Xenopus tropicalis: one gene and its partners. The protein of the gene in region 4 binds, or shares a complex with, the protein of the main gene of each other region. Links are inferred from orthologs where the notes say so. Each region holds a gene or a part of one and is shown on either strand. Other genes may lie near its edges.

What was found.
Region 1: polr1b (region 4) and ubtf share a complex: the UniProt entries of both Homo sapiens proteins name them as parts of the pol I pre-initiation complex. The link is inferred for Xenopus tropicalis from reciprocal best matches to the Homo sapiens genes POLR1B and UBTF.
Region 2: polr1b (region 4) and polr2h share a complex: the UniProt entries of both Homo sapiens proteins name them as parts of the pol I pre-initiation complex. The link is inferred for Xenopus tropicalis from reciprocal best matches to the Homo sapiens genes POLR1B and POLR2H.
Region 3: polr1b (region 4) and taf1a share a complex: the UniProt entries of both Homo sapiens proteins name them as parts of the pol I pre-initiation complex. The link is inferred for Xenopus tropicalis from reciprocal best matches to the Homo sapiens genes POLR1B and TAF1A.
Region 5: polr1b (region 4) and twistnb share a complex: the UniProt entries of both Homo sapiens proteins name them as parts of the RNA polymerase I (Pol I) complex. The link is inferred for Xenopus tropicalis from reciprocal best matches to the Homo sapiens genes POLR1B and POLR1F.

The regions. Positions count from the first base shown.
Region 1 is NC_030686.2:18,521,891-18,528,200, forward strand, and holds the start of ubtf (nucleolar transcription factor 1), read right to left. Parts: upstream 3,952-6,310; 5' UTR 3,525-3,951; exon of another isoform or gene 3,291-3,524; intron 3,156-3,290; exon of another isoform or gene 2,745-3,155; intron 2,717-2,744; exon of another isoform or gene 2,575-2,716; intron 2,514-2,574; exon of another isoform or gene 2,217-2,513; intron 2,124-2,216; exon of another isoform or gene 1,547-2,123; intron 1-1,546. UniProt on the Homo sapiens protein: Recognizes the ribosomal RNA gene promoter and activates transcription mediated by RNA polymerase I (Pol I) through cooperative interactions with the transcription factor SL1/TIF-IB complex.
Region 2 is NC_030681.2:99,526,396-99,532,502, reverse strand, and holds polr2h (DNA-directed RNA polymerases I, II, and III subunit RPABC3), read left to right. Parts: upstream 1-2,087; 5' UTR 2,088-2,100; intron 2,101-2,472; 5' UTR 2,473-2,481; coding exon 2,482-2,554; intron 2,555-2,647; coding exon 2,648-2,731; intron 2,732-3,368; coding exon 3,369-3,462; intron 3,463-3,572; coding exon 3,573-3,656; intron 3,657-4,764; coding exon 4,765-4,882; 3' UTR 4,883-4,985; downstream 4,986-6,107. UniProt on the Homo sapiens protein: DNA-dependent RNA polymerase catalyzes the transcription of DNA into RNA using the four ribonucleoside triphosphates as substrates.
Region 3 is NC_030681.2:9,681,078-9,687,106, reverse strand, and holds the start of taf1a (TATA box-binding protein-associated factor RNA polymerase I subunit A), read right to left. Parts: upstream 3,426-6,029; 5' UTR 3,270-3,425; coding exon 3,161-3,269; intron 1-3,160. UniProt on the Homo sapiens protein: Component of the transcription factor SL1/TIF-IB complex, which is involved in the assembly of the PIC (pre-initiation complex) during RNA polymerase I-dependent transcription.
Region 4 is NC_030681.2:38,744,937-38,751,127, forward strand, and holds the end of polr1b (DNA-directed RNA polymerase I subunit RPA2), read left to right. Parts: intron 1-138; coding exon 139-420; intron 421-551; coding exon 552-685; intron 686-1,477; coding exon 1,478-1,648; intron 1,649-1,875; coding exon 1,876-2,032; intron 2,033-2,220; coding exon 2,221-2,417; intron 2,418-3,187; coding exon 3,188-3,441; intron 3,442-3,809; coding exon 3,810-4,692; 3' UTR 4,693-5,070; downstream 5,071-6,191. UniProt on the Homo sapiens protein: Catalytic core component of RNA polymerase I (Pol I), a DNA-dependent RNA polymerase which synthesizes ribosomal RNA precursors using the four ribonucleoside triphosphates as substrates.
Region 5 is NC_030682.2:38,623,841-38,628,603, forward strand, and holds the end of twistnb (DNA-directed RNA polymerase I subunit RPA43), read right to left. Parts: intron 4,757-4,763; coding exon 4,551-4,756; intron 4,070-4,550; coding exon 3,244-4,069; 3' UTR 1,610-3,243; downstream 1-1,609. UniProt on the Homo sapiens protein: Component of RNA polymerase I (Pol I), a DNA-dependent RNA polymerase which synthesizes ribosomal RNA precursors using the four ribonucleoside triphosphates as substrates.

The DNA of each region.
Region 1 (6,310 bases), on a different chromosome or scaffold from region 4:
TAAATGGTGCTTAGTGATGTAATTGAACTTCATTCACAATTTTGTGTGTAAGAAGAACTAATGTAAAACATGTGGATATTAGAAGTCACCTTGGAATTCAATGTCCTGGCCTGCAGCCTTGTGCCTTTATATGGTCACAGAACCCCTCAGTGACTTCTAATATCCTTGTTATTTACAGTAGGGGGTACATTATTCCTTACAATACATGCGTGATGCTCAGAGTTTTATAATACATGAGTGATGCTCAGAGTTCCCTGTATAACTCAGCCTGCAGAACCCCTCAGTGACTTCTAATATCCTTATTATTTACAACAGAAGTACAGGTATGGAATCTTCTATCCGGAAACCCGTCATCCAAAAGGTTCCCAATTAGGGGAAGGCCATCTCCATAGACTCCATTTTAATCAAATAATTCACATTTTTAAAAATGATTTCCTTTTTCTCTGTAATAATAAAACAGTACCTGTACTTGATCCCAACTAAGAAATAATTAATCCTTATTGGTAGGAAAACAATCCTATTGGGTTTAAATTATTTTTTAGTAGAAATGGTACAAAGATCCAAATTAAGGAAAGACCCCTTATCCAGAAAACCCCTGGTCCCAAGCATTTGGGATAAAGGATCCCGTACAGGGCCGCCGCTCCCTATAAGCAGAGTACTCAGTCTGCATAGGGCACCAACTCCCAAGGGGGCATCATCCCAGCTGCTCCAAAAAAAAAACATTTTTATATGTTATAACATACCCCCCCAACAATGTTCCGCCGGTTTTTATAGTGCATCCCGCTGTCCCGGATAGTTCAATCAATCTATGGGGGCTATTGGGGGCACTTACTATGGGGGCAATTGGGGGCACTGTGTGTGGGGCCCCTATAGTAGGTGTTTTTTTTTAGTATTTCATTTTTACTTACGTAATATTTGGGGGAGGGGGCACAAAAGTAAATTTCCGCTTAGGGCACCCATTTGGCCAGCAGCGGCCCTGATCCCCTACCTGTATATGTTTCCCTATATTTACAGTGTAGCTGGGTAACAAAAGACACAAGGCCACATGCCATAGAAACCTGAAGGGATAATAATGTAATACCCCTGTAATTCCTGTAAGGGGAGCCCTGAACACAAGAACAATCCCATAACACTGTACGGTTTAAGGCAGTATAAAAGGGTATGTAGGCATGGGCTGGGAGTAAATATCAGCTTGCTTGGCATTTTACATGCGATGGGTGTGTGGCAAACACAGTCGGGGCATTACCTATAATCTGCCCCTCCAGCTCTACCATTATGGTCACATGGTTCTGGTATGAGGTTAAGGATATTTGGAGTCTCACAGCTGCGACTTTTGGGGTAGTCCAGGAGATATAGGGGGTCACAGTGGCCATGTCTTACTGGAAAAGTGAAGGGGTCCTAAATGGTTTTGCTATTAAACCCAAACGAGTCTAGTGGCAGCAGTGCAAATGTGTGTGTGACGTGACTGATGCTGAACTACAGTTTTCAACAGCAGCGCCAGTTGCAGGGAATCGTACACGGCGTAGGAGCTGCCATACAAACACACCGATCAGTACGGGCCGAGCTCCGGCTACAGGACTGGGTACTAAGAAGCAGCGCTGCTCTATTTCCAGGAAAGGGCGCTCTGAGGTCACAATTCCCCACCCCGAGTCGGGCTAGGACTCTCCGTTCTGCCTGCAGGGGGCCCCCGCCGCCTCTCACCGTAGCACCCGCCCAGCACCGGGAGGGGACGGGATCCGGAAAGAGCAGACGTATCCCACCCCCGAAAGGGAGGAACTTCTGGCTGGGAGCCGGGATTCCTGTTGGGCGCGTCGGGAAGCAGCAGCGATGCGGTCCCGGTAACTGTACAACCCTAGTCCGGTGCGAGGGAGGATTAGCGCGGCAGCGACCCCCAGGCAAAGCCGGGTTCCTAGCCGTAAGGGCGGCCCGACTGAGCACTGCCGCATACCCAGCGGTACTCTCCCGTCTCCAGTCCCAGGGAGGGGTCGCTCCAACCTGACACAACCCACTGACTCTACCGAAGAACCGTCTCACCCGGGAACCCCTGACCCTAGCGAGTAATGCCTGCGGGGCTGGTCCTTACTGGACCAAAACACCAGCTTTCCGGGCACCCTATCCCGCTTAGTCCAACCCCCACCCCGGGCTCTGACTCTCCGTACCAGTAAATAGCATCTTTTCGAGCCCCCGTCCGTAGCGAGGAATACACCCTAACCTACCGCCCGCTTCCGAACCAGCGGCTCCCGAGAAAAGCGCTCCCCCCTTTGTTATGGACCAGCCGTAGCTCCGGCGTCCGCTCCTTCCCTGCCGCGGCACGGCTTCCACTAGTACGGATCAGCCCATTCCGCGACCCAGGGGGAGCCTCCGCCTTAAAACGCTTTTCATTGGGATCGCTGGTAGCCCCGACTCGTTCACCCTGTGCCGGGAAGCCGCTTGGGCTGCCTTGAGCAAGGTGCGGGGAAAGGCTCCGAATCGGATTCGGCTAAAGCAGAGCCCGTATGGTTAAACCATCAGACGATCCAGTCGGGCTGCCTGCGGTAGTATAATGCGCCACAGGCTCGGCCGACTTTCACCCACCTCGTTATTTGCCCACAATGGGTCCCTTCGCTTCTACCCGCGAATGATTCTTTCGCTCCCCGTTAGACACCGGCCGACTGCCTCCTTAACTACCGGCAGCGCAGTCCAGGCAGCATCTGTTCTTCCCGGGAAACAGGGTCACCTTCTACCCCCTCTCCGCTCCTACTCACCGTGAGAAGCGCCGTCCCCAGCCCGAGTCCCCTGCCAGCCCACGTGTCGCGCCCGGAAGCCCCGCAACAGCAGCCGGACGCCCCCTCGCGTTTCCCCGCAATATGCACCCGAGCCCCGGCCAGCTCTGCCTCATGTTCCCGGCCCCCTCCCTTCGGTGCTCCGAGCCGTGTCGGCGCAGCTCCCCGCAATCTTCCCGGGCACCCACCTCTCTGCTCCCCTGGGAACGTCTCTCTCCTTCCCCCTCCGCAGCTCTTACCTTGTTCCCAGCTGCCGGGCCTCACCTTCCGGCCAAGGGGGGAGGAGGAGCCGGAGACTCGGGGGAGAGCGACCTCAGCAGCCCCAGCGCGGAACTAGCAGCCTCTTCCCGAGAAAAACAAGCCAAAGCCCGAGGGGAGGGTGCCTGGGAGAGGGCGCAGCGGGAACCCGGGCTGCTATTGCCCTTATTGGGTTCCACACTGCCCGTCACATACAGTGCCCTTCCCCGCATTAAACAAACCCATGCCCCGCAGGGTGAGCCCGGGCAGGGAAACTGAGGCTACACGTACCTTCCCCATAACCGCAACGGGGTGAGTCGCGCAAGGTGACCGAGAAAAGTGCATGTTTCTCGGCAAGCCCGACTGAATCGTGCCCGCTTGGAGGTGACATTTTCCCCGGGTTTCCCCGCACACTAACGCCCTTCGGTGGCTACAAATTCCCCGGCCGGTAGTGGATTTTATACTAATCCAGCGATCTGTGCCGTATCCGTCCCCAGGTGCCCGCAGACCCCCAAGCCGGCTTACCCCACTGTCTCTCCCAGGGATGTTGGGGGGAATCTGCTTGTCCGGATCTCGGAGACAAAGCGGCTGCGGCAGCCCCTGGGTAATGGCGAGAGCTCCGGGGGAGGGGGGGCGCTGCCTGCTCCTTCTCCCCGCCCAGCGTCGCTGCAGCAGCAGCCGGGCAGACAGAACGCGGGGAGCCGCCTCCTCCTCCTCCCGCTGCTGCACCCTACACAGCCCGGCAGGGGGGCCTCGCCAGCTCCGGGGGAGTTCTATGGAGCTCAGTGAAACCCACCTCCTGTGTGTGTGTGTGCAGCCCGGGCTCGGCTTCCTCCTCCCCTGTACAAGGCTGGGGAAGCGGCGCTTGAATGATGGCCAGATCTGCAGCGCTGGCCCCGGGCGTGGACTCAGACCCAGTCCCCGCAGAGAGCTCGCACTTCCCCCGCCTCCATCGCTCTCCGTGCCTATACAGCCTTCCAATCAGCCAGGCCCCCTCCAATCTCTCCCTGCAACAGGCTCCAGCTGATCCCTCCATCCCTCCCTTTCCTCCATCCAGCCAGCACCGCAATCTGCTCCCCATTACCAGCTGCCGCTACAGGCACCCCTCACATTCACCTCATACGGCAGCAATTTGCTTCCAGCTGTTGTCCAACTACAGCTCCCAGATAGGCTGTGCGGGCATTCTGGGAGCTGTAGTCCAACAATACAGTGATCATGGTTGAAGCAGGGCTTGGTGGCTGCTCAGATCCGGCGGCTGCTGGCTGCTCAGCGCTTCCAACCATACACAGGCGCTAAACCCCCCATAACAGGTTTTTATTCCCTATATGTTGTTCCTGTCTGACTCTTATTTATCTTCTCCTTTTTTTTAACCTAATTTTTTTTTTGACTCCACCTTTGTTGTTGAAAGCGTCAGAGAGAGGGAGCCAATCATGGGGGAAGCTTTCCTGGCACATCAAGGAGGGTTTCTTCTCTCTCTCTCTTTAACATGAACAGCAATCAGGCATAATGAGCGGGGAGCAGCTAGAGATGCCAGGAGCCCATACTGTGCCAGGGGAAGGGCTTTGCGCCTTACAGTTATTAACCCTTATTTATATGGTACTGACACTGCAGCAATGAGCAGAGATTGTACACCAGCCCCCGCTCCAGTGGAGCTTACAATCTAAGGTTGCTACCACATTCACTAGGGTCAATTTATCAGTACCACTTAATCTGCCTGTATGTATTTGGAGTGTGGGAGGAATCCCAGGGAGTTGCAGCTAGTGCCCAGGCTAGAATGAAACCCAGACAGCAGTGCTAACCAGGGGTGTAACTATATACAGGGTTGAACTGGGGGGCCCTGTCCTGGCCCCCACTGTCTGCTCAACTCCCTCTGCCGTGTGTCTTAGCTTATGTGCAACAGGGGAGAGAGCGCCATGGGTTTTGGGCCCAGTCCAACCCTGACTGGGGTGGGGGGCCCGACTGCAGGGTCTGCTGTGCCTTAGTCCCCCCTCCCAGGCCCCTTTCCTACCTTAAATATACTGGTGCAGTCTGGCCGGATGGAGGGACTGGTTGCGCCGGACCCTCTCAAAAGCTTTTTATGCAGGGGGCAACCAAGTTATGCCACTTGTGCTAACCCCTATGATGCCCATTGGTCAGAGGCATGAACACTGAGACAACACTGAAATCTACTTTTGCTGGCCCAGTTTGGTTTTTCGGGCAATGTTGAACTGGGCCGGCAGGGCATGGGGAAAAAACAGTGACTCCCCTTGCAGGCACTGGCGCTCCCCCCCTCCCATTGCGGCCGCTAGGAGGAAGTCACACAGTGGTGGCGGGAGAAGCATACAAAAGCAGCTCACGACTGTGGTTGGGGGCCCCCATGCAGCAGCCCCAGTAGGCTTCGGACAACCCAGTCCAACACTGTTTTCTGATCAATAATTTCTATGCATGTTTAGGGTGTTAGTGGGGAGTAGGTGACAGGAGTGTTGTGGGTATATAACATAATTTGTGTCAGGGTGGAAAAGTTATTTGAGCACAAAGAACATAATAAACCCTAAGGCTGATGCCACACGTGGCGTTTTTACGCTGCGTTTTTTCTCAGCCTAAAAACGCAGCACAAGCCACACAGCCCCTGACTATGGCGTTTTTCAGCCTAGTACTGGTGACGTAGCAAATCCCGTTTCCATGGTGCTAATAGTGCAAAATAGTGAAAAACGCTGCATATTTCCGCTAGGTCTGGCAGCTGCCTTTGTGTATACATAGGAATATCTTGCTGTGCAAATACTGGCGTATTTCGTCAAACGGAAAAATCCGTGCTAAGGCGTTTTGTAGCGTATGTACTCTTTGTGTGGTTTACTTCGAGTCTTTTCAAGTTATTTCTATGGATGATGATATCGGGCGTTTTTCAGCCGCTGAGAGAATTAGAAAATACGCAGCGTAAAAACGCCATGTGTGGCATCAGCCTAAATATGTAGGAATTATGTTGGTTTGAAAAACCCAACATACTGTTCTTCCACTTCAGCTTATTCTTCCGCTTCTTCTTCTTCTTAGCGCCCCCCAATTTTCCCATTGACTTTTATGGGGAAATCCAACCTGCTGCCAGTCTCACAGAATTAACACCAGGGTCCCCAAACTTTTCACAGTTGGTCACAAGGGGACTGCAGTTTTAGTTTAGAAAATGTGGGCGGGGCCAACAACAGCCAATCCAATTTCACCTATTTAATTTTATTGGTTTGATGTCAGAGTTCGCAAACTTTGCACAGTCACTCACTGGGTGACTACGTACACAAGGTTAGAAAAAGTGGGCGGGGCCACCAAAAGCCAATCACATTTCT
Region 2 (6,107 bases), about 61 Mb from region 4:
GTTAAAGGAGAACTAAACCCTAAAAATGAATGTGGCTAGAAATGATGTATTTTATATAATTAACTGACTGGACTGGAGATATATGTCTGTCATATAAGCTGATTCTAAAGGGTTAATTATTCAGTTCTGATGATGTTGCCCTGGTTTCAGATGTGTCATTTAATGTGAATCTGAATTAATTACTAATAATCTTTTTACTGTTACTGTTATATTCTATTTATGCAGTATATTTTGAGTCGGTCCCTAAGCTCAGTAGCTCAAAGCAGCACAGAACATGTGTAGGGAATCAGCAGAAAAGAAGATGGGGAGTTACTGGGCATCTGTGGAGGCACAAATCTTCCCTGCTTAAGGGCTGTGGTTGCCTTGGGCTGGTACAGAAACCCAAAACATAATGTATAACATTTCTGCCCTACTTCTTTAGTTAGGCTTTAGTTCTCCTTTTAAAAGGCTTGCTTCTGATGCAATAAGTATTAGGCTTTGAGCAGCAACAAACGTTGTTAAGTTAACCATTATAGTCAGAACACTACTTCCTCACAGCTCTCTAACCTCTTAGTCATTGACTTTGGGGGGGGGGGAACATGGGACTGTTAGTGAGACTTAGGGGCTGATTTACTAATCCACGAATCCGAATCCCGAATGGGAAAAAATCGGATTGGAAACGAACATTTTGCGATTTTTTCGTCGCCGTCACGACTGTTTCGTAAATTGTCGCGACTTTTTCGTAGCCATTACGACTTGCTCGGAAATTGTCACAACTTTTTTGTAGCCATTACGACTTGCTCGTAAATTGTCACAACTTTTTCGTAGCCATTACGACTTGCTCGTAAATTGTTGCGACTTTTTCGTAGCCGTTATGACTTGCTTGTATATTGTCGCGACTTTTTCGTATTGAGCGCTCGTAAATGGCGGGCAAACCTTTGCGACTTTGCATGATTTTGGAAGCCTCCCATAGGACTCAATGGCACTCTGCAGCTCCAACCTGGCCCAAGGAAAGTCACAATACTGAAGCTTGAAAGAATCTGAAACTTTCGTACTCGGCGCGACAGCTATGAAAAAGTCGCGAGAATTTACGAGCAAGTTGTAATGGCTACGAAAAAGTCTCGTCAATTTACGAGCAAGTCGTAATGGCTACGAAAAAGTCTCGACAATTTACGAGCAAGTCGTAATGGCTACGAAAAAGTCTCGACAATTTACGAGCATGTCGTAACGGCTACGAAAAAGTTGCGACAATTTACGAGCAAGTCATAATGGCTACAAAAAAGTTGCGTCAATTTCCGAAAAAATCGCAAAATACCGATCATTACGAATGAAACGCATTCGGACGTTCGTGGATTAGTAAATGTGACCCTTCGTTTGTGAGCAAAAGCAAACTAACTGAACAGTTCCTTGTGCGACCAAAAGCGATGTGTATACCATCCCACAGGCAATTTACATTCTTGCTGATGGAAAGGCATTTCAGAGATTAGTCGCCCGCAATGGTGAAGATTTATCATGGGCGACTAATCTCCGTGTGCCACTGCCCTAACGGCTATTATGCTAGACACCTGCTCACCCCAGCCTTTATAGATTACATTTTCGCTTAACAATATTGAGAATATTTATTTTGTGCAGTCTATTTTACCCAGTTTCATTTTTTACACTGAACTGTTACCCTAATGGTTTTACAATTGTGTCTGTAAAACGCAGATCTGTGCATTTGATTGTTACTATAACCAACATAATAATCAATAACTGCAAAAAAAACTAAAATTACTAAAATTTCACTGGGCTTTACTTTGCTGGTGGCAACCAGGAAAAAAAAAATCTTCCTTCCCTATATGAATGACTGCTAAGGAAATATTTGGAGCTGAGGTGGCAGAAGGCAACTGACATGAAAAATAGTCTTTTTCTCTTTTCTAACAGAAGTAGGAGTAGAACTGGAAGCTGACTTTCTAGCAGCTGCCTACTGTGTGACGCGATTACGTAGGCTCGTTACTCCCAGGCGGCTGCGTAATGCGTCATTGCGTTACGTGTAGTCGTGACGCCAGTCTCGCGTGATGAGACTTTGACGTCGGGATTTTCTGTAAACGAGACTAGAAGCCGGCAGGCTTTGCGGGAAGAGTAAGTAGTGATACGGGACTGCGGGTTTTGTAAGGAAAAGCGGGACTTTCGGGCAGTATGCACATACTTGGATTGCCGCCCTCCCCCTTCTGTCATTGATTTGGGAAGGGAGGGCGGAAGCTAGGGTTCCTATGTGTTCTTTCCAAATTGAAGGATGTGACGGCAAAATCATGCAGAACAGCACGTGGAAACATAAAAAAAAAATCAGCGTCAAAATTTCAAAGCAATAAGAATGTAGAAACTTAATAGTGTCAGGATATCTTTACGTATCTCCAAATTATTAAGGAAAACAGTCTGACCATTAGAAATCTCATTCAGTTATAGAAAACAAAATATCCCTGCACAGATATTAATAAGAGTCTACCTTTCTAGCTATCTGCCATGGCTGGCATTTTGTTTGAAGACATCTTTGATGTAAAGGATATTGATCCAGAAGGAAGAAAATTTGATCGAGGTAAGCAGCATAGCAAAGCCAAACATGTCTGCTCCAAACATGAAAGGTCCATTTATTTTCTTTACATTGCTAATGTTGTGACTTTTCTTCTAGTGTCAAGGTTACATTGTGAAAGTGAGTCTTTTAAGATGGATTTGATCCTTGATGTTAATATACAGGTTTATCCTGTGGACTTGGGTAAGTTGGGATTTGTTGTCTGTACATTGACATGATTATAGCAGTCATTTTTGAAATAGGAGTCCACTTTAGAGACAAACACAATATCATAAAATGAAAATAATATTTTCAGTGGATTTATGTTTTGCAAACACAACGTCTAAAATGTCAAAAACAAAATTGACTTATCTGACAGTTTTCAGCCTTTTGTTACCTGTTAAGTAACACTCTGCAAGTGTCGGTGAACCCTTAGCAACTATCATTTGCAAATACAGTTTATTTAGTCTGTCTGATTCTGGGTCTTGCCAGTTGTAAGACCAGAAACAAACTTTATTATGGTTAATGCATATCTTGGTGCAGTGTGCTGTTGGGGTGGTATCAGAAGCTGGAGGATTTTTAGGGTGAATAGGAGTTGATCCTCTAGTTGTGTAAGTAGCACATACCTGAAGTAGCTTGTAAAATCTATGGTGCGGGTTCTATAGATCTGCTTTATGGGTTCCATTCTAAAAAAAAATGATGGCATGGCTGGCACTGCATTGACTAAACACGGTGCATAAATGCAAAGATGTATTTAAATTCTACCACATTACCAGTGTTTTATGAAGATTAACTGCACAACAGTTGTTAAATTGTGTGTCCTCTTACTCTTCTTCCACAGGGGATAAATTCCGCTTGGTTATTGCCAGTACGCTCTATGAGGATGGTACATTGGATGACGGAGAGTACAATCCTACTGATGACCGACCCTCAAGGTATCATATTACTGCAGATAAATAAAAAGGAACATATGGTTCATCCTGTTGGTTTCCAAATTATAGTCTTTGTGAGGCACGTGACTCATGCATTGCATTTCTTCTTTTAGAGCTGACCAGTTTGAATACATCATGTACGGCAAGGTCTATCGGATAGAGGGTGATGAAACTTCCACAGAAGCCGCTACCCGCCTGTAAGAATCCAAATCATCTACCCAGTTACTTGCTTCTTCATCTTAAACCTGCATGTGCTCTTTGTATGAAAAGACAAGAAGGTTTTTGCACCTGGGCCAGAAAGGCAACACACAGAAATTATTAGGGATGCACCAAATCCCAGATTCGGTTCGGGATTCGCCCCAAATCCTGCCTTTTTTTGATGGATTCGGTTTCGGCTAAATCCACTGTCCCAGCCGAACCGAATCATAATTAGCATAAATTTGTATATTCTAATTAGCATCCAGAAAGGGTTAAAATTTAGGGGGGGAGAATCCACTATGCGAGGATTGATCGTCGCATAGTGGATTCTGCCCTGCATCGCTGTATCACCCTCTTTCAAATGACCGGAAGCCAAGATTTAGCAGGTATTTTCTAATAAAGCATTCAAAATAATAAATGGTGTGCAGGATAGGGCAATTATTGGGGCAGGGTAGAATACATTTTTTAATTAAAAATTTTTAGTGTTACTTTTCCTTTAACAATTATTGCCAGGCTCCACCATGCCAATAAGCTGAACTGTAGACCACATCCAATAAGAGGATTACTCCTATTGGAATCTATGGATATGGCAAGCCTAGAACTCCACAGTAAGGGTTATATTTATCATGCTGTGTAAAAAAGTGGAGTAAAACAGTACCAGTGATGTTGCTCATAGCAGCAAAATCAGATGCTTTGCTTTGGTTGAACTGTTGAAATCTAATTGCTGATTGGCTGCCCTGAGCAACATCACTAGTAATGCTTCACTCCACTTTTTACACAGCATAATAAATATACCCCAAAGTCTACAATATAGTGGGATGGAATTTAAAGATAAGGGTGCATGTTTCAGATTTACAGTTTAATCAGTAGAAGGTGATTTATTAGGGAATTCTCTGACATCTCTCACTTTTTAATAGACACCAAATTGAATTGTGCAGAATAAGCAGCACCATTTATGGTGGATGAAAGCAAGCAATACTAATAGGGTTTATTTTTCTGTAAACTTGAAAGGGACTTATGTTTCACTTGTGCCCTTACTCTTTCACACAAGTTGCCTCTACTTTCCAATATTCTCTGTGTTCCATAACGTGCTCATGTTTCCTCTAGGTCTGCATATGTATCATATGGAGGACTTCTAATGAGGCTTCAGGGAGATGCTAACAATCTGCATGGATTTGAAGTGGATTCTCGTGTTTACCTCTTGATGAAGAAGCTGGCTTTCTAATGCTGAAGGGAATTATTGAATGGTGCAGTATTGGAATGTAATATAGACCCTTTTGACATCTTGTATTTTTTTGTATTTTAATAAAATATTATTTTGTGATAAATAGTTCTTTTGAGGTTTTAATAATGCAGTCTGTGACATTTTAAAGGTGATCCTTTATGTTCTTAAAGCAATATACAAAAAAAAATCTCAACCAGTCATCAGTTAAATGACTGGTGCAGCTGGTTAAAAAAAAAGTTTTTTTTTCTAGGCAGTCTAATTGGCTTTTAAAAGGAAAGCTGGGTTCTGAAACAAAAGGCACTTTAGGCATGCATTTTGTCCTCTTCATGATCATTATTGTGGAGATCCACAAAGAGACAACATTGTACTAAACTAGTGATGCTATTTTGTAGCGATAATACTCATTGAGATACTAGAAAAAAGCTACTTTTTCATCAAACTCTGCCAAGATAAATTGCTACACTTCAATCTACAACATCTAGGAAAGTAGCCTCAAAGTAATGCAACAAGATACTAACAGAATTGAAGTCAATAGGTACTAGGGTTATGGTTTTTAATTTCTTTATTCTCCTACTTTTCTTTAACAATGTTTTAATGTACAGATTTTAATTGCTGAAATAAAGGTTGATTTTATTTATAGGTGTGCCAACAAACTGTGTCCTTTGAAACATAATATATTCAATTGTGGAGGTCTTTGAACTCTGATAAAGGTTGTTTTGCACATATCCATAAGATGGCATAATGATAAAAACTATTCTACAGATAAAATCTAAAGATACAAAGGTTTAAGGGTTTTGTGAACCCTTAATATAAAACAAAAATTAGTAAATATTAATGAATCTGTCAAGAAAGTAGCAAATAAGGAATAAAAATGTATTTGTGTTTGCTTTACCTGTTTTAGGACACCCATCCTATGATGAGAACAGGTGTGTAGTACTGTTAGTAGTGTTTTGCAGGCATCCTTAATTGAGAAGGATCTAGGGGTTTTTGTAAATAACAAGTTGTCTAATTCCAGGCAGTGTCATTCTGTGGCTACTAAAGCAAATAAAGCACTGTTTTGCATAAGAAAGGGCATTGACTCAAGGTATGAGAACATAATTTTGCCCCTTTATAGGTCCCTGGTAAGGCCTCATCTTGAGTATGCAGTGCAGTTATGGTCTCCAGTCCTTAAGAAGGATATTAGTGAGCTGGAGAGAGTGCAGAGACGTGCAAATTGCTTCCAACA
Region 3 (6,029 bases), about 29 Mb from region 4:
CTGGATTCGGTGCATCCCTAATACGCAGAAAGCCAAACAGTAAGAAACAAAGGTAGGGGGATGCCGTCATAGCACTTACAGTTTTTTTCACAGGCTACTGCAACGTTAATTTTGGCGCAGGCGTGCGAGTGCTGGACCCCAATCTGCTCTGGCCTCAAAACTTATTTTGTGTTAAAGGAGACATATTGGATAAATACAAAAATTTTTATCTTGTAGGCAATTATAAATAATATATGGTGCTGGTTTCACTTTGCTCTTAAGATTAATAAGGTCTGTAAATATTAACCCTTAATTGGAGCTCCCTATAGATCCTATCAAGTCTGTGTTTCAAATGAGGGGTAGGCGTGTCCGAACGGTCCCTGCCAGATGCACAGTAGGAGGGGAGTAGCCAATCACAGCCCTGCACTCACACAAGCACAGACAGGCTTCAGTTCCCTATCAGGTCAGCCTAGCTGCTGATTGTTGGTTCCTATCCTACAGTGCAGTATACCGAGTGCTGCTGGCCCCCCTGCACATCCAAAGAACTCAGCCAGCAGGAAGTGGAACAGATGGGCGGGACTACTGGGACTTTTAAAAGCACAATCCTTCCATATTTAGAGGAGTATAATACACTGGTACATTCATAATTTTAACATGATATGTCTCCTTTATGAGGGCTAAATGTATCAGTTTACTGAGGGCAGAGGTTCCCTATATACAATTTAGCAACTCTACAGCCACACCAGGCCCAGACTGGCAATCTGTGGGTTCTGGCCAATGCCTCTGGGTACTGGGAATGCCAGAGGGGCTGCTGTAAGGTACCACAGACAGTCACTATTTATTGGGCTGGGGGGGCGTTTGTGCCTCTGGGTACTGGGAATGCCAGGGGGGCTGTAAGGTGCCACAGACAGTCACTATTTATTGGGCTGGGGGGGGGGCTGTTTGTGCCTCTGGGTACTGGGAATGCCGGGGGGCTGTAAGGTGCCACAGACAGTCACTATTTATTGGGCTGGGGGGGCTGTTTGTGCCTCTGGGTACTGGGAATGCCAGGGGGGCTGTAAGGTGCCACAGACAGTCACTATTTATTGGGCTGGGGGGGGCTGTTTGTGCCTCTGGGTACTGGGAATGCCAGGGGGGCTGTAAGGAGCCACAGACAGTCACTATTTATTGGGCTGGGGGGGAGCTGTTTGTGCCTCTGGGTACTGGGAATGCCAGGGGGGCTGTAAGGTGCCACAGACAGTCACTATTTATTGGGCTGGGGGGGGGGCTGTTTGTGCCTCTGGGTACTGGGAATGCCGGGGGGCTGTAAGGTGCCACAGACAGTCACTATTTATTGGGCTGGGGGGGGGGCTGTTTGTGCCTCTGGGTACTGGGAATGCCAGGGGGGCTGTAAGGTACTACAGACAGTCACTATTTATTGGGCTGGGGGGCTGTTTGTGCCTCTGGGTACTGGGAATGCCAGGGGGCTGTAAGGTGCCACAGACAGTCACTATTTATTGGGCTGGGGGGGGGGCTGTTTGTGCCTCTGGGTATTGGGAATGCCAGGGGGGCTGTAAGGTGCCACAGACAGTCACTATTTATTGGGCTGGGGGGGGGGGCTGTTTGTGCCTCTGGGTACTGGGAATGCCAGGGGGGCTGTAAGGTGCCACAGACAGTCACTATTTATTGGGCTGGGGGGCTGTTTGTGCCTCTGGGTACTGGGAATGCCAGGGGGGCTGTAAGGTGCCACAGACAGTCACTATTTATTGGGCTGGGGGGGCTGTTTGTGCCTCTGGGTACTGGGAATGCCAGGGGGGCTGTAAGGTGCCACAGACAGTCACTATTTATTGGGCTGGGGGGGCTGTTTGTGCCTCTGGGTACTGGGAATGCCAGGGGGGCTGTAAGGTGCCACAGACAGTCACTACTAAGGGGTATACTTACATACCCCCCAACTGTCCCGCATTGCGGGACATTCATGGAACTATCCGGCACAGCAGGATGCGCTTGCTGTAGCCGGATGTTCTTGCTTCGTCGGCTGCTTCGTTATGCCTCTCCTTGTGCAGCGCTACAGGCCCTTTTATAAGGTTGCGCCTGTGGGTGTGACGTCATTACGCATGGGCGCAACCTTATAAAAGGGCCTGTCGCGCTGCACAAGGAGAGGCATAACGAAGCAGCAGAAGAAGCCTGCGCCTATGGGAGGTACTGTGAATGGGGGGCCACTGTGATCGGGGGGGCCACTGTGATCGGGGGGGACACTGTGATCGGGGGGGACACTGTGATCGGGGGGGACACTGTGATCGGGGGGGACACTGTGATCGGGGGGGACACTGTGATCGGGGGGGACACTGTGATCGGGGGGGACACTGTGATCGGGGGGGACACTGTGATCGGGGGGACCTGTGGGGGGGGACACTGTGATCGGGGGGGACACTGTGATCGGGGGGACACTGTGATCGGGGGGACACTGTGATCGGGGGGGACACTGTGATCGGGGGGGACACTGTGATCGGGGGGACACTGTGATCGGGGGGACGGCTACTGTGTATGGGGGGCTACTGTGTATGGGGGGCTACTGTGTATGGGGGGCTACTGTGTATGGGGGGCTACTGTGTATGGGGGGGCTACTCTGTATGGGGGGGCTACTCTGTATGGGGGGGTTACTCTGTATGGGGGGGTTACTGTGTATGGGGGGGCTACTGTGTATGGGGGGGCTACTGTGTATGGGGGGGCAAAACTGGTACTTAGTTATAACTGACTGCCTTCTCTCTATACTTGTATTTATATGTAGGAGTTGCTATATTGTTTTCCTTAGGTAGTACAGTATGAGGGTATAGCACATTTTCGTCTGCGCCCGCCATTTCATCTATATAAAAGGGGTATTTTTTTTTAATGGGGTGTGGTAATTGGGGCGTGGCCACAAAAGGGGGCGTGATTAAAAAAAATGCCGCACTGCGCGCGCGCCAAATCTTTTTGTCCCTCTTTTCATTTTTCAAATGTTGGGAGGTATGTACTTATCATGCTGTGTAAAAAGTGGAGTAAAGCAGTACTGGTGATGTTACCCAGAGCAACCAATCAGCAATTAGATTTCAACAGTTAGAAAATCAAATCAAAGCATCTGATTGGCTGCTATATACAACAACACTGGTGATGTTTTACTCCACTTTTTACACAGCATGATCAATATACCCTTAAGTGTCTTTACCGTGGGGTTTCCTTCTTGGCACCGGCAGCTGGAGCCCCAGAACCTCCTCCTCACTCGGTCCCTCCTCGGAATCTTCCCTTTCCGCACTGCGTTCGCTGCTCCCATCCATCTCCCCTCGGTTACAATCAGACAAGCGGGCTGCTTCCCCCTCACACTGTGTTTACATTCCCCGCAGCGCCGCTTGCACTTCCAGCCCCAAGCATCCCGCAGGCATGTTCAGCCACACGCCGCTAGCCTCCTCTCGCGAGAATATGACGTCATGAACCACGTATAAAAGGGGCGGAGACGGCGCCAACTCGTCATTGGGTGAAGAGTTAGTCAGGCAATAGCTGGCAGTGGGGGCCGCTGACTGATTATTCTGCTCTCACAGATTCTGATTTTGTTAGAGAATAAATAAAGAAAATAACGACTGCTTTTTTCCTTCGTGTTTCCTTGCCATGGCCACTGCCCTTAGAAGCTTTATCCCCAGTGTTTGATGAAAAAACAAATATTTGCTTTCTCTGCTCCACAGAACATGTAAATGGGAACAAAAAAAACACTTTGTTTATATTTGTGGGTGAGGTAAATATGAAAAAAAGCTTTATTTTTCTGGTGATTACCAGCAATACCCACTACCCTCAGAGTCTGCTCCTGATATCCCAAACTTAGTATTTTATTTGAAGTTACACTGCCATGTTTTTGTGAATAATGGACATGGTTTTAATTTTTGATTTTTAAAAACCCTATAACCCACCCAGTTTTTCAATTATTGCCTCACTATTGTTACAGTTGGCCCATACAGAACATTTGGTCATTCCTTTCAGCTTTGATCCCTTTGGACATCCTTGTTACAGCCATACTAAGCAATAGGCAGCAATAGTTACAGCTATACTAAGCAATAGGCAGCAATAGTTACAGCTATACTAAGCAATAGGCAGCAATAGTTACAGCTATACTAAGCAATAGGCAGCTATAGTTACAGCTATACTAAGCAATAGGCAGCTATAGTTACAGCTATACTAAGCAATAGGCAGCAATAGTTACAGCTATACTAAGCAATAGGCAGCAATAGTTACAGCTATACTAAGCAATAGGCAGCAATAGTTACAGCTATACTAAGCAATAGGCAGCTATAGTTACAGCTATACTAAGCAATAGGCAGCAATAGTTACAGCTATACTAAGCAATAGGCAGCAATAGTTACAGCTATACTAAGCAATAGGCAGCAATAGTTACAGCTATACTAAGCAATAGGCAGCAATAGTTACAGCTATACTAAGCAATAGGCAGCTATAGTTACAGCTATACTAAGCAATAGGCAGCAATAGTTACAGCTATACTAAGCAATAGGCAGCAATAGTTACAGCTATACTAAGCAATAGGCAGCAATAGTTACAGCTATACTAAGCAATAGGCAGCTATAGTTACAGCTATACTAAGCAATAGGCAGCAATAGTTACAGCTATACTAAGCAATAGGCAGCAATAGTTACAGCTATACTAAGCAATAGGCAGCAATAGTTACAGCTATACTAAGCAATAGGCAGCAATAGTTACAGCTATACTAAGCAATAGGCAGCTATAGTTACAGCTATACTAAGCAATAGGCAGCAATAGTTACAGCTATACTAAGCAATAGGCAGCTGTAGTTACAGCTATACTAAGCAATAGGCAGCAATAGTTACAGCTATACTAAGCAATAGGCAGCAATAGTTACAGCTATACTAAGCAATAGGCAGCAATAGTTACAGCTATACTAAGCAATAGGCAGCAATAGTTACAGCTATACTAAGCAATAGGCAGCTATAGTTACAGCTATACTAAGCAATAGGCAGCTATAGTTACAGCTATACTAAGCAATAGGCAGCAATAGTGAACTGGATTTAGTCCCTAGGGCATTCGGGGCTTACTAACTAGGCTCCCAATTCTCTTCCTTGACCCCCTACATACAAAAGCTGGAACGACTGGTTGATTACAGGTAACTGTACCAGGCTTAAAGATCCAAGTTTGTGGATCTTAAGGGTGAAGACACACGGAGCTACTAGTAGCAGCTGCTTGTTGTGGCTACTAAAACAAACAATACTGATCATTTACTGATAATTGTCTCTATGTGTGTTTTAGCAGAGGCAATTCTCAGTATTGTCTATGGCAGGGGATTTTCTGGAGTTTAGTAGCCATGAAAAAGTAGCTGCTACTAGTAGCTCAGTGTGTCTTCACCCTTATTGTAAGGGACAGTCAAAGCCCTTAGTAACATTGGCCCAATAATATGTCTTAGCACAAATCATCTGTGCAAACCATTTATTTAAAACTACACCCTACATTTTCAATAATTTTCCTGAAAACTGTGTTTCCTTGTCAGGTCTTTTTCTGTTTTTCTCTTAGGCAAGTAAACGAAGTCCCACCTATTCTATAGTTACCCATCACATATTCAAAGTGACAGTAATAAATGAGACCCACCTGTCACTGTACACACACACATCACACAACAGCAGCGATAAAAAACTGTAGTACTGTTTTAGCCAGTTTCAAAAATAATTAAATAAAAACACAAATACAAGAGTACTGTAGAAATGATACCTATACTGGTTAACAATAAAAATACATTGCGAGCTTTCAGAGCTCTAAGGCCCCTTTATTTGGGCTGATGAAGGGGCCTTAGAGCTCGCAATGTATTTTTATTGTTAGCCAAAATAGGTATCATTTCTACAATACTCTACTTCTAATTTCTTGGCCAAAATCCACCCCATCTGCTGGATGGTGAATATCATTCAATCCTGTCACTGCACATTCAGGACGGCTCAGAAACTGCACTGTGTAAAAAAGGAGAGAAACTGTGCTTCATTGGCCTCCTGTGTACTGAGTCAAATTGGGTAGATCCCTGGGTCTAACAA
Region 4 (6,191 bases):
TCTGGAAACAAGTTGCATGACAAGCCAGCCTACATGACATTTGACACAACTGACTAAATTGCTGCTTTCAGTCACATCCTATTTTGTGCATACTTTCAGAAATGCTAAAAATATTTACTTTCACCTTTTTTCCTGCAGGCCTTGGAATGCTACAGTCTTCTGGTCTGGTAGTGGTTGCTGACAAGCTAAACTTCATTCGCTACCTTTCTCACTTCCGCTGTGTACATAGAGGTGCTGCTTTTGCCAAAATGAGAACCACCTCAGTGCGTCGCCTTCTGCCTGAGTCTTGGGGTTTCCTGTGCCCCGTACACACTCCCGATGGTGAACCATGTGGTCTCATGAATCATATGACTGCAGCGTGTGAGATTGTGACACAGACATCCTACAACACTTTACTGCCATTGCTGCTGTGCTCATTAGGTACTACTTGCACATTATGACTCCTTTGGAAAGCTAGGGATATTTAGAAATATCTTGTGGGCACAGTTGTGGAAAACTACCCCAGGCCAGTATCTACATTATGTGATTGCCCTTTGTCTGTTTCCCCTCAGGAATGACTCCTGTTGATGGAACAGCCGGAAAATTGTTTGCAGACTGCTACCCTGTCATGCTAGATGGAGCCATGGTGGGTTGGGTGGAGAAAACCATAGCTCCTGGCCTTGTCAGCGCACTTCGAAATTATAAGGTATTATTTTTCTTTTCCTGGACACAAACCCTAATAGGGTAAACTGCCCCTTGCTGGGAGACAGCATGCAAGCTGGCCAACGTTTATAATATTTAACAGAGTGTCAGAAAGGTATCTGTTTACTTTGACCACATATTTGGATGGTTAAATTATGATGTGCCTGTACCACTAAGGGCTCTGGCACATGGGGAGATTAGTCGCCGGCGACTAATCTCCCCGAAATGCCATTCCACCGGCGAGAATGTAAATTGCTGGTGGGATGGCATACGCGGCCATCTCAAGGCAAGGGAGATTTGTCGCTGGTGACTAATCTCCCAGTGTACCACAGCTTTAAAATGTATTTGCTTCTTTGCCAATATTAAATAATTGGGATTATACCGGATGGCAAGAATTACTAGTCCTAGTCTAAAGCCACAGAGCATCAGTGAGATGTTTTACTAACTGTACTAGGTCAGGGAAAACTGTTTGTTGGATGTTATGGGTTAGTGAATTGGGGAAAAGTACAGAGAACGTAATTGCACTGTAGTTACAATAATTGCACACTTTTGTCTAATTGGGGGACCCAAGCACCAAAAGCAAAGAGAACACTAATTAATTTTGCAACAAGGACACTAATTAATTAAAAGGCAACCAGCTTTCAGATTTATCCATTTTTTATCTTTTCATTTTTTTCTGCTAGTTATTAAATTCCTACAGGACACATAGACTCACTAGGGAGGCAATCAGTGCAGTGAAGACCTTCTTCAACTTGATCTCTTAATAGTTTTTTATGTTTGCTTTATATTAATGCAGGTGAAACATGAAAAGAATGTGCCTCCATGGACTGAAATTGTCCTTATCCCAATGACTGGGAAAGCAAGTCTGTACCCTGGGCTTTTTCTTTTCACCACCCCCTGCAGGATGGTACGTCCCGTCAGGAATTTGGCCTTGGGTAAAGAGGAATTGCTTGGCACTTTGGAACAGGTATTTTTCAGTGTTTTGTACATAAGTAAATCTTCTTTAATTTGATGACCATATTTTAGGCTCCTTCTTGAATTCCATTACAATATTGTCTCTGATTGGTAATCTCCTGCATGACTCTAGCTTTGATCCTGTATTATGTGTTAAACATCTGTTGTAAGTTTCATTTTCTTTGCAGGAATTATCCATAATGTATTGTATTTCACTGGTGTTACTTGTGTTTGCCCCAGGTTTTCTTGAATGTGGCAGTTTATGAAGGTGATATTGTACCCGGAGAGACCACTCACCAGGAGTTTTTCCCGCACAGCATGCTGAGTGTAGTAGCAAATTTTATCCCCTTCTCAGACCACAACCAGAGTCCCAGAAACATGTATCAGTGTCAGATGGGTAAGTCATCTTTTAAGCAGGGCATCAGAATTTGGTAAGAATGTAAGATTTGTTCTGGTTAAGTTTAATCTACTCTTGTAAGAGCTATAAAATAGTATGTAGAGCTAAATATTGCAGCAGAAAAGTTCATTACTTGAGGAAGAGACCCTTGCTTTTTCCTGAAATTTCATAAATTGCATTATTTCCAGGTAAGCAGACAATGGGCTTCCCTCTTATGACTTATCAGGATCGCTCTGATAACAAACTGTACCGGCTACAGACCCCACAGAGTCCTTTAGTTCGGCCTTCCATGTATGATTATTATGAGATGGATAACTATCCCATTGGCACCAATGCAATCGTAGCAGTCATTTCGTATACAGGGTATGACATGGAGGATGCCATGGTAAGTAGTTGTCCCAAATTTGGTGAATAGAGATTTACATATCTGCTTATTTATTGAAATTATTAAAAACATTTGTCATAGGTAGTAATTTCTTAAACTTACTTGCCCCTTTCCAGCCTAGGCTGAGGTTTTAAAAGGCTGTAAAACCAGTGTGTGCCCCCCGCCCCCCCTAATACTATCAGAGATGGACAGGTATCGGCAGTCGCCAGAGGCGGTGGAGTATGAGTTGCTTCATCACCAGAAACGCTGGTATAGTTGGTGATGTCATGCATATAATTAATAAGAATAATATTATCTATTTAAAAATGTTATCAATTTATTTTTGTTAAATAAACTGTAAAATATGAGGGCATTGCTTTTACGTACATTAAATATTTATTTTCTGTGTGTCTGTATTTACACCTTGGGGTGGGGGCATCCATTTTGTTTGCCTACTATTCACTAGGCACAATGCATAGAAGATGCCTGTACTTAATACTTATTAAAGGCAGGTGATAAGTAAAGGGCACCCTTGTGTCCAAACTGTAGGGAGTACAAGTAGGAGCATACTATTTTAATAGATAACATTTTAATCCCATTATTGCACTTGGCACTGGGCCTACCATTGATAAGTGGGACCTTATGTTGGCCTACATACCAGCTAATGACCAGAAATCACTAAATAAAACTTCAAGTTTCCAGTGCACAATAAATGCATCAGCCTTATACAAGAACCAGATCTTTTGTTCAGTATCAGCTTCAGGGGTGACATCTGTACTGGTGTTTTGCAGGTCTTGAACAAGTCATCATGGGAAAGAGGCTTTGCTCATGGAAGTGTGTATAAAACTGATCACGTGGATCTCAGTAAAAAACTTAAAGATGGAGAAGATAATCTAGTTTTTGGCATCAAACCAGATGATGAGCGGGTGAAAGGAAGACTGGACAGCGATGGCCTCCCTGCTGTTGGTGCTGTTCTGCAGTTTGGAGACCCTTACTATGGCTACCTGAACCTTAACACAGGGGAGAGCTTTGTTGCCTATTACAAGTAAGTATTAATTTGCTTGCAGTTCCCTGGGATCCTGTATGAATGGCCTAGTATTATTTTGAATGTACAAGAAGGAGTAATGGATACATTATCTATCTGATACTGATACTACAGATCCTGGTTTAAATTCTTGATCCTGGGCAAATCACCTAATTTCCTCGTCTTTGAGCCCTAATTGTATGTTATAACTCCAATTCCACACCTTGTTTTGCTTTTTTGATGTTGTGTACAGCAGCCCCCTTTGAAAATTGTTTATAGTGGTTTAAATAAAGTTGTACAAACAAAGACCAAAGAGCATTTATGCACATAGTTATTTATAATAAGACAGGCACCAGATATCATTCGTATCTCTTATTTATTCTTTTTAGGAGTAAAGAAAACTGTGTAATTGACAACATCAAAATCTGCAGTAATGACATTGGTTTTGGAAAGTTTAAGTCTGTTTGTGTCACCATGAGAATCCCCCGTAATCCAACAATCGGGGATAAATTTGCAAGTCGGCATGGCCAAAAGGGTATTTTGAGTAGGCTTTGGCCGTCTGAGGATATGCCATTTACAGAGAGTGGAATGGTTCCGGACATCCTTTTCAATCCTCACGGATTTCCCTCTAGAATGACCATTGGGATGCTGATAGAGAGCATGGCTGGAAAGTCAGCAGCCCTGCATGGTCTCTGCCACGATGCCACACCCTTTACATTTTCTGAAGAAAACTCTGCCCTTGAATATTTTGGAGAAATGCTGAGAGCAGGTGGTTACAATTTCTATGGCACAGAGAAACTATACAGTGGCATAAGTGGCCTGGAACTTGAAGCCGATATTTTCATTGGGGTGGTTTACTACCAGCGCCTTCGACACATGGTCTCTGACAAGTTTCAGGTTAGAACAACAGGTGCCAGGGATAAAGTTACCAACCAGCCTGTGGGAGGCCGTAATGTTCAAGGTGGGATACGTTTTGGAGAAATGGAGCGTGATGCACTGCTGGCCCACGGTACCTCTTTCCTGCTTCATGATCGACTTTTTAACTGCTCGGATAGGTCGACAGCACATGTGTGCATAGAATGTGGAAGCCTACTCTCTCCTTTCTTGGAAAAGCCTCCGCCTTCCTGGTCATCCATACGCAACCGAAAACACCACTGTGAAGTCTGCGATCGTACGGATACTGTTGAGACTGTATCAGTACCTTATGTTTTCCGTTATTTTGTGGCTGAATTAGCAGCCATGAATATCAGTGTGAAACTAAGTGTGAGCTAGTTTCAAACACCACGTTGTGTTGGGCAACTTCTGTATGATTATAGTAGTACCAATGTGCCTCCTAATTGAGTAAAAACTTTGTATGTATGGATTTCAACTGCTAACTCACACTGTGGCAGCTTTGGTTTGCTTCAGACTGAATCTGACTAAATTATTTTTATCAGCATTTTTACTGCTGAAACAATTTCCAATGTGAAAAGGAAACAGTTATTTTTACTGAGTTTAAAAATGCTCAGAAGTCTCATGCTTGCGGCACACATCCCTACCAGAAGTGTCTAGAGAATTTGGACTTTGGGGGAATATATTTTTAAAGTAAAATATATGGTGACATGAACAATGCTGTGTGACATAAAGCAACAGTTCCCACATTAGTCTTTATATCTTTTGTATTTCATGGTTTGTTTGTTTTTTTTAAATACCATTACATGTGTACAATTAGATGCTTAAAATGACATACGTCTTTTGTTTAGTGCAAAGAAAAGTATGCACACCTGCTGCCTGCAAGCAGTGTAGCTATAGGGGGGAGCAGACCCCAGGGCTACAGCGAGTAACACAAAAAAGGCACTCTCTTGAGCATGGAGTGGAGGTGGCCAAAAATTGTTTGCTAGTGTACCTGGGACCAGGGAATACAGTGGAAGTACTAAATGCCTTTTATTCATAGTTTCTGTATTGTGTAACACTATTTTGGGATAGATTGGACCAAAACCAGGCTAGTTGTAGAGCATTGGTTACATGTGACTCTCATACATCAGGATGGGCCTCCGCTATATGGGAGAAATTACTGGAGGATGGTGTTATACCAGGGGGCTCAAACTCAATTTACCTGGGGGCCGCATTATCGGATAATGCAAGGCACGGCGGGCGGGAGCTGCTGATTGCGGAAATGACATTATGCCATCATAACAGTTATTATGGGAAGACGTTCTGTGTGCACAATTAGCTGCTAACTAAGGAGCTAATTGTGCACACAGAACATGCCTTGCATTATCCCTTGAATCGCAATAAAAATCGCGATCCATTCATTGCTTTTGCAAAGGCGTTGGTGCGGGCCACAAAATATTGTACCGAGGGCCGCGAGTTTGAGACCCCTGTGTTATACTATACCTCTCACTGCCACTGTGTAGTGTATTAGATGGTAATGCAGATTTACGAATAGATGATGGACACCAGGAGCTCTTGCAAACAAAGGAAACTGTTTATTTGTCCAAGACCAAATTGTAAATACAGGGATATCAATACACACTCAGATGAGGTAAGCAGGTACAAATGTTCAATCAGTTGAAGTATGGTGCCTTCGGGTTTATCCCTTCTCATAAAGAGGTATGGGCAGGGTAAGACAGCCAACAGAGTGGTAGGAGGCAAGCTCACCGGTTGATCCCTTCTCTTGGTAGAGGTAAGGGCAGGGTTAATTGCTGGCCTATGTCCCTAGCACTTCTGTGTCCCTAATCTAAGGCAAGTAAGCCTGTTAGGAGACTACTCCTTTACTCTTCCCTCCTGGA
Region 5 (4,763 bases), on a different chromosome or scaffold from region 4:
AGTTGGGATCAAGTACAAGGTTCTGTTTTATTATTACAGAGAAAAAGGAAATCCGTTTTAAAATTCTGAATTATTTGATTAACATGGAGTCTATGGGAGACAGGCTTTCCGTAATTCGGAGCTTTCTGGATAACGGGTTTCCGGATAAGGGATCCTATACCTGTACTAGAATGCACTAAGGAAACATATGCACCTGAAAGACCTGAGCAGACAGAGTGCCACTACTGCAACATCACTGGTGAGTTCAGGTCAGAAAAATAACTGTTCAATGGAGAGCAGTGTAGCAGAGTCTGCTTTTCCCCATAAGTACTAGTATATGCGCTAAAAAAAGTCTCTTTGGCGCTTCCATTTACAGCATATTATTATTTAAACAAAACTGTATTTTTTGCACAATACAAAAAGATGAGACTCATTAAAAGGGATTGTCATAATTTTTATGGTGTACTTTTTATTTCTAAAATACACTGTTTACATAGCACATAATGCACTCTACCATTTAAAATTTTATTCTTGAACCAACAAATGAATTTTTAGCTGTAATATTCGTGTGTAGGAGCCATCGCAGTGCATTGTGCCTGAGTCTGAGCTTTCAGAAGGAGCCAGCGCTACACATTGGAACTGCTATCAGATAACCTATTGTTTCTCCTACTCCTATGTGACTGGAGGAGTCCCAAGCCGGACTTTCTTACTATTAAGTGCTATTCTGATACATACTGGGAGCTGCTACCTTCCCATTGTTCTGCTGATCGGCTGCTGGGGGGGAAAGGGAGGGAGGTGATGTCACTCCAACTTGCAGCTCAGCAGTAAAGTTTGACTGAATTTATCAGAGAACAGGTCACATGGCTGTGGCACCCTGGGAAATGAAGAATATGGATAGCATCATGTGAAATTTTAAAATTAAATTACAAAAATTTAAAAAAAAAGGGGATTTCAATGCAGGATTCTGATGGAGAAGCTCTATTAACTGATGCGTTAAAAAAAAAAAAAATGTTTTCCCATTACAGTCATTTGTAAATGTAATTTCATGTCAAAAGTAGTGCTGGTTTTGTTTCTTTGTGTTCTCAGGCTCTGACTGAGTGCAGCAGAAATCAGTTCTCCTCCAGATCAGCTGGCTCCTGCAAAATCTTTTCAGGAGTCGGAATTAGAGGTTCAGAGATTGTAAACAGCCAGATACTGCTTCACAACACCTTAAATAATAACAATTCTTAGCAATGATTCAATCCACATTTTTTTTTTTGCAATTGCAATCAAAAGCATTTTGCTTTTGCCCCTTGCTATTCCCACCACTGCCTTTCCTCAAACCAGGAACTGGCTTCCCACAATGCTTGCACCCTTGTGTGATTCTCCTTCTCAGGTCAGTTAACCACAGAGCGTACACGTTATTGTAGGAATTGGACTTTTGGATGGAGGACAGTCCACTGCTGCTACATAGTTTTACTGGTTTTCTATTCAGGATTGGCTGTGTATAAAAGGGACTCATGTCAGAAATAAACAGTTTGCATCAAGTGCTGCATTATGTGTGGGTGCTATATAAATACATATAACATTTTTCACATTCTAAAATAATGGGCTATATGTTATACTCAAAGGTACCTGCCCAATGGGTTTAGCACAGCAGAAAGTTAAAGCAGACTTTGGCATTCTTTTCCGCAGGAGCATACGTGTGGGAGTTTTTAATTTTGACAAGTCTTATGTCAAAGAAAAAACTTGCTGCTCATATCAATATGCACAGGTATGGGCTGTATAACACTTAATAGCAACAAGGTTATATTCTATATATCATTTTCTATTCAGCCAGTCCTGCAACATATAGAGGAACTGTGTACTAATAATGTGATTGGGCGCCTCTGGTCCCTGGATGCTGTCAAACTTTATCAGCAGTGCTACAAAAGGCAATAGCTGGAAGTTGCCCATCCTTGCATAGAGGGATCTTGTTAGTCTTTTCTTCTTCCATCCGGCAAGTGTCTGGATATAACTAGGTGCATCTGTTCTTTTATTCTACAGGGCTGCTACACTTGTTTGTTTCTGTTAATTCATACGTTAAAGAACAAGCAAAAGGAAAAAACAAACACAAAAATGTGGGAAACTAAACTGGGCAAGACGATTATCAGGCAGAAAGTCTGTTTAAAGGCAAGCAGTCTAATTCCCCTGCAATGGGCACATATTTAATAAGACAACAGTGACATCTAGTGGCCCTGCTGAGCAAATGCATATGTAGCCTACACACACACATTCAATTTAAAGGCACTACTGATACTGCAAATACATAGGTAACATGAAACCCATGTGTGAAAATTTAAAATGCCTTTTTTTCATGCAGTTACAACTGACATTCAAACCATTTGGCTTGGTTGCATTAAGCACATCTATAGTATATTCTGAAATGGCAGCTTTATATGCAAATTAATCACCAGGCATCTTGTAAGACTCTTATGGCATTAAGATGGGTTCCATAGGCCTTCAGGGTATCTGTAAGAGATCCAATCCTTTTGGTTGCTAAAAAAGTGGACTTGTGTCTTTGACGGTCTATGCAGGAGGAACCTCAGAAAGTTATTAAAAATAACCTGTTCTTTCTGCTTCTTGTTTCAAGGTATTATCATCATTATGGTTTTCCTTTACTATAGGGCTTAGACCCATAAATGATCCTCATGGTTACTTTCCTCTACCTCTGCTTCCTGTGGAATAGAATGCTGGATCATTATCAGTCACAGTGATATTTTCCAATTTTGCCACAAATTCGGGGTTAAGTGAAAAAAGGCAGTGATTGACTGGCAGTAGAGCACCTAACTCCTTCCGGTACAGGTTCAGGTTAGGAAATTTAGAAACCCCAATTCTTGTTTAATTAACCCCTTTTCCATTAAATACAGGATACATATGGCTGAAATGCTGAGCCTGCACAATTTGGGCTACAGCATGTGTGGCTGTGCTTATTAATTTAAAGATCCAATCAGCAGTACAGCTGGACCTATCAAAAGCACAAGTGCATCAATGAAAGTCTGTCTATTTACTAACCTAATGCATGAACCCTGGTACATATGCACTGCTGGGGGCCCTATAGAATGGCCAGAAGTAAAATGTTTGAAAGAAAGAAAGAAAGCACAAGGCACACTTTATAATAAATAGGTGGAACTCCTAAACATATTTGATTTTTAAACTTCCAAATAATTTTTACATTGGCACATACATTATTAAAATACACTTTTGCTTTTGAAAATACAAATTTACAGTATTGTTAAAAACATGTCATTCTTTATGTCTCTTTTTAATCTTGGGTTCTGCAGCCAAAGTATCTGGTTCATTTTCATGGTGTCTTTTTGCCTTTTTGTGCTTGCTTTGGGATGACCCTGAGCCACTGCCAGGCAGTAAATGTTCCTGATGTTTTGCTTTATGCTTTTTTGCCTTTGGAGTTTCCTGAGAGATAACAAGGCCTTTGGTGAGAGATCCTTCGGATGAGATACAAGTGACAAGGTCACTGTCCGGGATCTGCTCCACAAAAGAGTGCTTGTGTTTTTTCTTAACCTTATCTGGGTCACCACCACTTGCTGTCATTTCTTCTGGTTCAACAGTGGCACTTTCTGAAAAACTTTCATCTTCTACTACTCCATTGAGAAAAGCAGAGGTACTATTAGAATTACTTATCTCCTTACTCTTCTTCTTGGATTTCTTTGGTTTAAAATTAACTGGTGATTCAGTAATATTGCCGTCTTCAAGGATTGTACTGTCCACACCTTTCTCAGCATCAGATTCACTATTTTGCCCAGGAACATTCCTGTGCTTCTTTTTCTTGCGTTCTTTATTTGAAATGTCTTCATGCAATTCTCCAGGACTCTCTAGATTTGGATCTGTGACTATAGAATGATCTCCTGTGCTCTCAGCTTCCTGTGTAAGCGACTCTTGCAATTTCTGTTTCTTGCGTTTTTTCTTTGCTTTTTCCTGAACATCACCATTTTCTTGGACGCTGGATTCCATATTTGAGCTTTCCAGGGCATCTGCATCTTTATCAGATGTTCCATCATCAGCTTGCTCAGCAGTTTCTTCACATGGGGTTTCGTAAGCTTTATCTTCCATTCTGTAGCAGCAAAACACAAAAATTAATATACATAATGTAGATAAACTCAGAATTAGAGACCTCCTGATGAAGGAGGCAAGATGTATCTGCCACCTAAAGTGTAGGATTTTTATTTTATGTCTTTATATTCTGGGTTTACACAAACAATTAAGGCAACGATTTGTACATATATTGTATAAAGTTATGTATAATTTCATGTAGTTTAACATGTATCACCAAAAAAGTAAAACATGGGAACAAAATTAAAAAGTAGAAAATCGAAGACTTAATTTAAATTTAACGTGTTGATAACAAATCTTATTTTTCCTTTCTTACATTTAATCTTTCTTATATTTAATCTGATTAGGAAAAATAAGATTTGTTGTCAACACGTTAAATTTAAATTAACTGTACTGAACCCATGCAAACCAAAATATTGAGTTTTAGACTATATTGGCAGAAACTTGTTTTGGCCTCACAGAAAAACAAAAAAACAAATCACCTTCTATCCAGCTTTCCACGTATACAAAATACACCGACAGCATCAGAATCTAAACGGAATACTTCAAACTCTATCTCGTCATCTATGTTAACACCAATACGCTGCCAATTTTCAATGGGCATCTTGGGAGGCTTGGGTATGGAAGCGTTGAAACAGCCATGTACCAAACAACCTATATGTGTGGGTGCAACTTTATTGACAATACCCTGAAAC